Linked DNA regions of Oryctolagus cuniculus. Each later gene encodes a partner of the first gene's protein in a complex. Links are inferred from orthologs where the notes say so. Each region holds a gene or a part of one and is shown in the gene's direction. Other genes may lie near its edges.

What was found. Proteins that work in one complex are often made in the same cells at the same time.
Region 2: the proteins of GNAI1 (region 1) and HCRTR2 are in contact, whole or in part, in a cryo-EM structure (PDB 7SQO), measured with the Homo sapiens proteins. The link is inferred for Oryctolagus cuniculus from reciprocal best matches to the Homo sapiens genes GNAI1 and HCRTR2. Residues at the interface, in NP_002060.4 of Homo sapiens: Ala31, Arg32, Leu194, Phe336, Thr340, Asp341, Ile343, Ile344, Asn347, Leu348, Lys349, Asp350, Cys351, Gly352, Leu353, Phe354; in NP_001371201.1 of Homo sapiens: Thr89, Arg152, Ala155, Ile156, Pro159, Leu160, Met161, Phe162, Lys249, Gln254, Lys301, Thr302, Met305, Leu306, Ser368, Lys370.

What each region holds. Positions count from the first base shown.
Region 1 is NC_091434.1:144,905,087-144,910,195, forward strand, and holds part of GNAI1 (guanine nucleotide-binding protein G(i) subunit alpha-1), read left to right. Parts: intron 1-4,529; coding exon 4,530-4,659; intron 4,660-5,109. UniProt on the Homo sapiens protein: Guanine nucleotide-binding proteins (G proteins) function as transducers downstream of G protein-coupled receptors (GPCRs) in numerous signaling cascades.
Region 2 is NC_091436.1:114,250,640-114,255,748, reverse strand, and holds part of HCRTR2 (orexin receptor type 2), read left to right. Parts: intron 1-1,223; coding exon 1,224-1,444; intron 1,445-4,066; coding exon 4,067-4,188; intron 4,189-5,109. UniProt on the Homo sapiens protein: Nonselective, high-affinity receptor for both orexin-A and orexin-B neuropeptides. Triggers an increase in cytoplasmic Ca(2+) levels in response to orexin-A binding.

The sequences.
Region 1 (5,109 bases):
TTACTTCCAGACCATACTTTTTTTTTTTTAAGATTTATTTTTATTTTTTTATTTGAAAGGCAGAGTTAAACAGAGGCAGAGGCAGAGAGAGAAGTCTTCCATCCACTGGTTCACTCCCCAAGCAGCTGCAACGGCCGGAGCTGTGCCAATCTGAATCCAGGAGCCAGGAGCTTCTTCTGGGTCTCCCACATGGGTTCACGGGCCCAAGCAGTTGGCAGGTAAAGCTGCTGCCTGCAGTGTTGGCATCCCATGTGGTGCCGGTTCAAGTCCCAGCTGCTCTACTTCCAATCCAGCTTTCTGCTATGGCCTGGGAAAGCAGTGGAAGATGGCCCAAGTCCTTGGGCCTCTGCACCCGTGTGGGAGACCTGGATGGAGATCCAGACTCCTGATTTCAGACAGGCCATCTTTCACTGCTTTCCCAGGCTGTAACAGAGAGCTGAATTGGAAGTGGAGCAGCCGGAGCTTGAACGTGCACCCATATGGGATGCTGGCCCTGGCAGCAGCTTTACCTGCTATGCCATAGCACCGGCCTCTAAACCCTACTTTTCACTTCCATCCTTGTCTTTTCACAGTTGTAGTTTTGCCATCAAGCAAATACTGAGATTCCATCGACTTTCAACATGATGCTTCAGGAAGTTCATTAATCTTGTTCAGTTTGGGTTCCTGGGTGAGGCCAAATTTTATAAGCCTCTGGTGTAGTTACTGTTCTGATTTCCTAAACTAAAGATAAACAGATTTCTCTGCAACTTCAGATAAACTTTCTCTTATTTTGGATTTGAATTCTGCTAAATTACTGTCATTGCCAATGCGTGGTTCCAACCTTGCATTGATTTCTCTGCAACTTCAGATAACTAGCAGAAACACCGATTGGTATCGCTGCTTTCATTTTCAATGACAAGGCAGATAAAGCACAGAGCATCACTTATTCTTCCAGATATGACTTAGAAACACCTCCATACTTCAACTGGTATTTAAAATTTCAAACCTTTTTTTAATAAACAAAAATATAGAATGTTCTCCTTCATATGAAAAGCTGGCACTTTTGATGAGCGCCATTAGGAATGAATGTGAGTTTCCCTAAGGTATTTTAGAGGCTACAGTAGACCGTGAGGGACATCCTAAGGTATGCTAACTTAGACTGTTATCTGTCACCACTGTGATCAAGACCAACTAGTACAAAGCCGGGTAGCCATATCTGAATGTTAAACTCATGCACTGCATATGGTGTTCGCATTATACTACTATAGAGAAGGAATTTTCTCCTGTATTATAATAATTTCATATCAGAAAGAATGTTTTATCTCTGTATCCAGCAACAGTAAAGTTAAACTGTGATTCTTTAACTAAAACTAAATAATCCAAACAGAAACTACCCATAAACAGTTTTTTTTTTTTTTCATGAAAATTGTTGAACTCTTTTAGTATAGAGTTGGTCTTCTGTGTATAAAGTTAACTGAAAATGTATCTTAGTGGAGAATGGGACTGGGAATGGGAGAGGGAGGAAAAAGAGGGGTGGGAATGTGGGTGGAAGGGTGGGTGTGGTGGGAAGAATCACTATATTCCTACAGTTGTACTTATGAAATGCATGAAGTTTGTATTCCTTAAGTAAAAGCTTTCTTTGGAAAAAAAAACCTACTCATAAATGCCAAGTCACAGCTGATAATATGAATTCTTAAATTATAATAATATACAATTCCTTCATTTTGAACTTAATACCCATCATACAAACAATAAGTGAAATTATTCTCAGAAGTTAAATGAGACAAAAAGTTACAATGAGATGCACACAACCCAATTCATTACTTACAAATTCTCCCTTCCACCCCATACTAGAACACAAGTCAGCCAGCTGTTTGCCATTTTATAACAAGGATTGTCTTTTCTGTAGGGTGCAACAACTTGTTTTTCACATCTGAGACCTCATTAAAAGTACCTGTAACATTCACGTACCTCCCAACACTGTTGGTGATGATACTTGTGTGCTCCAAGACAGTAGCTTTTCTTCTCTTCTCTCTTCTTCCTTCTGAGCTCTTAGCAGAATGTCCTGTAATGTCCACAGTTCTACCAACTGTCTCTTTAGAATAATTGCCAGGTACTTCAGTATTCTTCCAGCTATTGTCCATGACCCAGTTGCAAAGCCACTTTCACATTTTTAGGCATATGTTAAAGTAGCACCTCTCTCTTGGCTCTCACATTTGTTTTTCTGCATTCTCCAGAGAAACAGAACTGGTCAATTATGATTGTTTCAAGGAATTGGCTCATGTAACTGTGGAAGCCCTAGTTTGTAGGATAGGCTGGGCACCTTACACACGAGTGCTTTTACAGGGCTAGAAAGAATTTTGTTTCTGCCGTGGAAACCTTAGGTTTTGCTCTTAAGGCCCTTCAGCTGATGGCATGTGGCCTATCCACGGGTACTGAGGACCAACTCATGACTTAAAGTAGGCTTATTATAGATTTTTTTAAAAGATTTATTTATTTACTTGAAAGAGTTACACAGAGAGAGAGGAAAGGCAGAGAGAGAGAAAGAGGTCTTCCATCCGCTGGTTCACTCCCCAGTTGGCCACAATGGCCGGAGCTGTGCCAATCCGAAGCCAGGAGGTTCTTCCAGGTCTCCCACGTAGGTGTAGGGGCCCAAGGACTTAGGCCATCTTCTACTGCTTTCCCAGGCCATAGCAGAGAGCTGGATCAGAAGTGGAGCAGCCAGGTCTCAAACCAGAGCCCATCTGGGATGCCGGCACTGCAGGCTGTAGCCCTAACCACCACGCCACAGTGCTAACCCCTTATTGTAATGTTAATCACATTCATGAAATACCTTCATGGCAGTACCTGGAGATTAAATAATGGTGTGGTCAGCCAGCCAAGACAACACAAAATCAACCATCACAGAGAAAATGTCAAGTGATCAGGTGGGATTGTTATTTTGTATTGGCTAGACAGAGAGTAGATGACATTTGGTTGGAAAAGTTTCCTAAGATTAAGATATGGTTTTTTTTTTTTTTTTTTGGTAAAGTTACTTTTTCCCCCAAGTTTTGTTCCTAAGCAATTTAATAAATGGTTTCCAGTTAAAATCAATTTATTTTCTTTTCTTCTTCTTTGGTCTGTGTTACTGACTGTCCTTTATGTATGCTATCCATTTTTACTTATCATGCAGTAGAATAATATAGCATACTTGAATGTACTGGCAAAGCTAAAATAAAGGCCACTTAAATGATGGGAAAGGTAACAGTAGTAGTTGATGTGCCTAGATTCAGTTTGTAGGCCAATAGTGCTCCATAGGGAAAATTCTTTTTTGCCTGGGAATTAAATAGGGACTGTTTTAATTAGTGCACCATCTAGATAAATGGAGCCTTTAAAAATGTACCAGTTTGCATAGTGCTTCTCTTACATAAGCGATTATTTCTAGGTTGCATAATATAATCTTTGTGGATTTTAACTTTTGCTTATCTTTATAAACTCTTGTAGGAAAAAAAAAACCATTGTTTTTATATTGTATGATTGTGTTATTACATCATTCACTAACAGAATGATTTACTATTGTATATTGTACAAAAACTGAATTTTTCATTCTCAGTTGCTAGGCTATTTATATTTACTTCTTTATATTTCAAATATGCCATTTTTTTCTGCACCATGGGTTTACTTTTTTGTGTTTTTTAAGATTTAATTCTTCATTTGAAAGGCAGAGTTACAGCAAGAGAATGAGAGAGAGAGAGAGAGAGAGGAAGAGAGAGAGAGAGAGAGAGAGAGGTCTTCCATCTACTGGGTCACTCCCCAAATGGCCATAATGACCAGGGCTGGGCCACCCTGAAGTCAGGAGCCTGGAATTCCATCCAGGTCTCCCACATGGATGTCAGGACTCTAGATACGTGGGCCATCTTCTGCTTTCCCAGACACAGGGAGCTGGATGGGAAGTGGAGCAGCCAGAACTCAAACTGGAGCTCTCATGGGGATGCTGGTGTCACAAGTGGTGGCTTTACCCACTGTGGCACGACGCAGTCTCCCCACAATTGTCCTTTTGTAACAAAACCCTTTGCCACTACGTGGATGTAATTTAGTTGCCCTGTACTTTCTTACCTGGAATGGGCTGTCCTTTATCTCCAAGTCCTCTGAGAGAAAGCGTTTTATAATAGGAAGAGGGGAGCCCCTCCTCTGCCTGCAGTGCTCCCTGACTTTGAATGTGCACTCTTCGGTGTCTGCGATGCCCACTGGCTTCTTGTGATGCCTCTGTGTCTACACACAGTGCAGTCCATTCATTTGCATATGCTTTCATGTTCTTTTAATGTTCTCATGTTAATGAATGTCTTGTGTTTCCAGGATGTTTTGTTTAGAGGTATCCTCCCTTCAATCAAAAAATTTCCCCACTTGAGAAAACCAATCTGTGACATTGTTTTCTTCCTAAAAAGTCTTTCTCCTTTTTTTTTTTTCTTTCTTCCCATTTAACTATTTGGAGCTTCTGTTGTGGTCTCTCTGAGCTCCTTGGGCCTTCAGAATGTGTGATTCACGTCAGCTCCTTGTGTTTCCCCTTCCAGAATGTTTGATGTGGGAGGACAGAGGTCCGAACGGAAGAAGTGGATCCACTGCTTCGAGGGAGTGACTGCCATCATCTTCTGTGTGGCACTGAGTGACTATGACCTGGTCCTGGCTGAAGACGAAGAGATGGCAAGTAGAGCCACTCTCTGGGGTGGGGCATGAAACGCAGTGAGAGGGATGTGTTTCCAGAAGTTTTTCTGAGAAATTCTTGATGCATGCCTGAATTATTTGAAGTTCCGTCACTTTCCACTGACTTTTATGCTTGCATCATTCAAGAGAAATCTGGTAAAGAAGCACAGATGGGGCTTGAAAAAGAGGAGACGATGGAGAGTCCATTTCATCCTGCCCTCTGCCAACTGTGCCTTTCCTGTATCTGCCGTCTGCATCCCGAGTGAAAATAAAGCCAGCCCATAGCCGTCCAGGGCTCATTTTTCATCATGTGTCCCTTCCTCCCATGTAGTGATTTTTGTTACGCATAGGTTATGCTATACTGATGCCATGTCATTTTCTTGTGTGTTTCAATGCAGAAAAATTTTTTAAATATAAATTTTAAAATTCTCAATTGTTTTTAATTAGCTT
Region 2 (5,109 bases), on another chromosome or scaffold:
ATAGATTAAAAGATTGGGTTGGACTGCCACTATGTGAAAGTGTGGTCTACATAGCACGATATAAAGAGAAGATAGCTTGTCGAATGCTTTCTATTTAAGGGTAGATCTTTCGTTAGGATATTTCCCTCTTCTTCAAGAGAGGAGATGGTCAAAGGGAGACCACATTTACTCATCTGTATGGGCATCAAAGCAAAATTCTGTTCTCAAGTTAAACATTATCTAACAGTCTTTGATTTTGTGGTGTAAAAGGCAGAGAATCCATCTAACACCCATTTGGAAAGACCACAAGGACACATTGGTCTGTCCTGCCTTGCTGCAGAGGGAGAAAAGTAACAGCTGAATAATCTTAATAGAACTAAGGCAGCCTTACGGCATGCTCGTTGGCACATTTTCCTCTTGAAAAAATTACACATGCTGAATTTTATTGTTTTGCTCAGTAAAGCCTATCAATCTTCATGAGCTTACAATTAAGAAAATATTATACTTGGCGGGACTCCCTGCTATTATCAGATACTTTGAAAAGAGATGGAAAAGTACAAGTTGTGTAACTGTTGTTACCAATTCTAGTTATTTGAAATGTTAACATAAGATCACAAGGACTCCTCGTGTTTTTGTGGGCATTTTAAAGGGCTTGACCAAAAATCGGCTGCAGACAATTTAATATCTTCAAATATTAAAAAGCACAGAGTAGTTAAGTGTATTTGTTTCACTCAAAGGTTTGCTTTACACAAGCCTGAGAAGCAGAAAACCTCACAGAAAACAGTAGGGAGTTAAGGTCTACCTCTCCATCTGCCAGCAGATGGCAGTGTTGAAGCATGGAACAAACTCATTTGGGTGATTTGTTTCATTACCAGCTAGGTTTTCCTTCTTTCCTTAGGTGTCTGAGCCGCTCCAGAATTCCTAATAGGATTGTCATCCATTTAACATTCTCCTTCTCCAGTTTTTACTTCCCCTTTTATAAGGGAACACCTTTTCCATTTGCAACTGTCTTTAGACCTTGACAAAATTATGCTGTTTTAGCTTGTTTCCATCCAAACACCTAGTTAGCTGTCCACTGAAGGAAAGCCAAAAACCTATTCCACTCCACAAACGTTTTGGAGAAATAGGCACTCAAAACTCCCAGACCTCCGGTGTCTGGCACACTTTCCTGTGTCTTCTAATTACTTCTCCAACGTGGAACTTTCCTAAGTCAAATAGCAACAAAGAATCCCCTCTCCTTTCAGATCCCTGGAACATCATCTGTAGTTCAGAGAAAATGGAAGCCCTTGCAGCCCGTTTCACAGTCTCGAGCGCCAGGACAGCAGACCAAGTCCCGGATTAGCGCTGTGGCTGCTGAAATAAAACAGATCCGAGCCAGAAGGAAAACAGCCCGGATGTTAATGGTCGTGCTTTTGGTGTTTGCAATTTGCTATCTACCAATTAGCATCCTAAATGTGCTAAAAAGGTAAAACTTATCTATTTGGAAATGAAGTGGTTTATCATTTCTCGGTCCATCATTAATAACTTTATTTCAAGCCAGGAGAAAATACACTTTTTGCCTAGATACCTTCTCAGGCCAGATGGCCCAGTTATGTTGTTAACAACAGGTGAGGTGAACAGCCTTTTTAAGTGCTCAGACATATGCTCTTGTCTATGCAGATTCTCTGTTGAATGGCAGACATAAAACAGATGTTCCTCCAAACTCTTGAAGCTAATTGCTAAGCCTTCCATGCAGTGAAAATTTTTATGCAAAGAAAAAAAGAAAAGAAAAACTGCTTTGCATCTTGGAGTTCTTTTTTTGATGAGAACAAATAGGATTTCCAAAACTTTGTCCTCAAAGTCATAGGCAATTGTGACAAAATTCTATCTAAAGATAAAGAGATAAGAATGTTTTGTTTTTAAGCTCTAAAGAAAAAAAAAGTAATCAAAGATAATGCTGTGTTTTGAATATATAAACAAAAAGAGAGAAAATCCATTTTCTCAAGTTACTGAATCAAGCTCAAGGTGAATATTAATAAAAATCATCACAAAATTTTTCAGTGAAGGAAAGTATGTAATACATTATGCTGCAGATGCAATTATTAAATTCAGATTATCAGACAATGACATGAACAGCAGATGCAGAGGCAGTGGTACACACAAAACTGCATGGCCAGCCAACTTTATTGGAAATTATCAAAACTGTTGTACAGGGATTGCTCCCAAGACAATACTAATTCTGTTTATTATGGGCTTCAAACTTAACCTGGACTTGCTCCTCTCAGTTTTCCCTGTTTTGGAGTCAATATCAGATTCCTCACAGCTGGGGACTCTAGAGAGAGGCAGCTTTGGCGAGAGTCAATATAAAGGTGGTATGACCAGCTGCAAAGATCTTCCATTCTCTTTGGCCCCTGTTTTTTGATTATTTAGTGGTTTTTTTTTTTTTCAGTAGAGAAGAATTGGAAAATGAACTTTTGTTCAGCAATATTACTTACTGCAGTCACAGTCTTAAAGGTATAAGATTTTTGGCAACTCAGATCCTTGAGATGTATATTGGCTCACAAGAAAATAAGTATCTTGCCCTTCATATATTTTCATATTCCCCCTCTTACTTTTTCTTGCTCACAAAAATCCCATGCAGATCAAATATGGTCCTTTTCTAGATTGTGTCTCCTGCCCTTACAAAAGAAGCTAGAAAACATGCTATGGGACCAGATGAGTTCTCTTTTTGTCGTTTACTGTTTTAAGTCAGTGTAAATTCAATTTTCATTTACTACTCTGCATTGCTCATTTGGAATTCCTGTATCTCAGCATTTGCACTTTGCTTTTACTGATTTCCGAATACCTACTCATATATAATATTTCTTTTAGACTTCTGACTTGAATATCCTCCTTTCCAAAGAAAATAAATAACTTTTAAGAAAATTTGTGTTAAATTTTAAATATTTTCAATCTAGTGAACATTCTGCTTGTTTCCACAAAATAAAAATTTTTTAAATAATCTTGAAAATTGTTTTTCAGTTTAACATATACATTTTTTTTAAAATTACTATGTCTAGGGTTGCCCTTACATAGTAAAGTTTTTTTTTTCTTCTTCACACACATAAGAAATTTCCTTGAAACTTGAATTTACCAAAAAACAGTAGTCAAAAGCAACTTCTTAAATCAGTTCTAGTTTTTCCAGGATTTCAAAGCTATTTTGGGGTAAAGGGTTATAACCTGATGGATTTCATTTGTCCATTCTGTCTTACAGTGTTTGTATTAAAAAAAAAAAAACAACTCTAGTTATCTGTAGAGCATTGCTTCATTTCAGAGATGCACTTTTATCAGATGCCTTCTTATCAAAAGAAAGCATTAAGATAGGACACAAAACATATAATCAATGATGAAGCCTCCAACAGGAAATCCCTTATAATCTTTGGCCTATAAACTTCCAGCTGTAAGTTATCTGCAATAGGTTAGTGAATAGAATTTGATATATAAAATATTCTAACTATGGAACAAAACTTAAGATAGCCCTTAAGGATGCCACAATAAAATATTTTGTGGCATTCAGTATATTGTACAAAAACTTAGAACTCATGAATTTTAGCAAATTATCTGAGTTATGCCTACTGAAAATAATAATTCTTTGGGTGTAAAGAGTTCCCAGAAGCCAAATTTCAACAAAGCCAGGAAGGTTGGAATTAAACATATAATATTTTGATCCCTGTGCAAATGAAACTAGGAAGAAGTACTTATAGAATGCATATTGTGAGTGCTCTTGAAATGATCCACATAATACTCATTGAACACGAGATTGTTTATGTTTAAGACACAAAATGGAATAAGGAAGATATGTATTCAACTTCTGTATTCTTGTCTACAAGAAGCACTGTATTTGCTCTTTGCCTGACGAAGTGATCCTTTTTCTCTAGCCTGACTGAGCTTTTGATTACTAATTGTGCCATGAAGGTTCTGTTTGGAAACAAACTCTGTTCCACACTGACCATCATGTGTTACACCAGCCCGTGGTTAGTACTGCAGGCTTGCTCACTTTGAATCTGACGGTTTAAAGGCACTTTCCACCCTCACACTGTATTTTCTGTTATTGTTTCTTTTCCTACAGAGTATTTGGGATGTTTACCCACACAGAAGACAGAGAGACTGTTTATGCCTGGTTTACATTTTCACATTGGCTTGTTTATGCCAACAGTGCTGCGAACCCAATTATTTATAATTTTCTTAGTGGTGAGTTTTCACTTATTTCTTCTATAAAACAGCTTTAACTAAGGGTGAGGGACAATGACCAGAAGATTGGAATACTCTTTTTTTTCTAAGATTTATTTATTTATTTATTTATTTGAAAGCCAAAGGTACAGAGAAAGAGAGAGACAGAGAGATTTTCTATCCTCTGGGTCACTACCCAGATGTCTTCAATGGCTGGGATTAACCAGATAAAGCCAGGAGCCAGGAGCTTCATCTGGGTCTCCCACACAGGTGGCAATGGCCCAAGCAGTTGGGCCATCTTCCACTGCCTTTCCTAGGCCATTAGCTTGAGATGGATTTGACATGGAGCATCTAGGACTCAAACCAGTTCCCATATAGGATACCTGCGATGGCTTAACCTGCTAGGCCACAACACCAGACACAGAATATTCTCAAAGCATATAAAAAACTTAGCTGATCTCTGAAATATTTTCTTTCTCTCACCTGGTATGTTTTTTTATTTTTCCATTTAGGAGAGGGAATATATATTATCTAACAATCAGAGAAAATTTTCTAAATGACCCCCCCCCCCCAATCTAAGATGACAAGTTATAATACTAGGAAAGTGAAGATTGTGAGAAACAGATAATGCAGAACCTTGAGTGTAAACTTTCAACCTATGATTCACAAAATATAAAATATTTTATCTGTTTTGCCATGTTGTATCAATCCTTTCCTAAAATGCACATACTAATTGACATTGAATTGGAATTTTTTCACTTTCATATATTTACTGTATTTACATTTCTCTTGTGGGTAACATCTCTTGTGTTTATCTTAAGATTTCTTGCTAATCACAAAATTGATTTTAAAAAAATCTCTAATCTATCTCTGTTTGTGTGATTAGCATTATTATAAAAGCTATTTAAATACATTTTAAATGATGAATTTTTATTTAGGTAT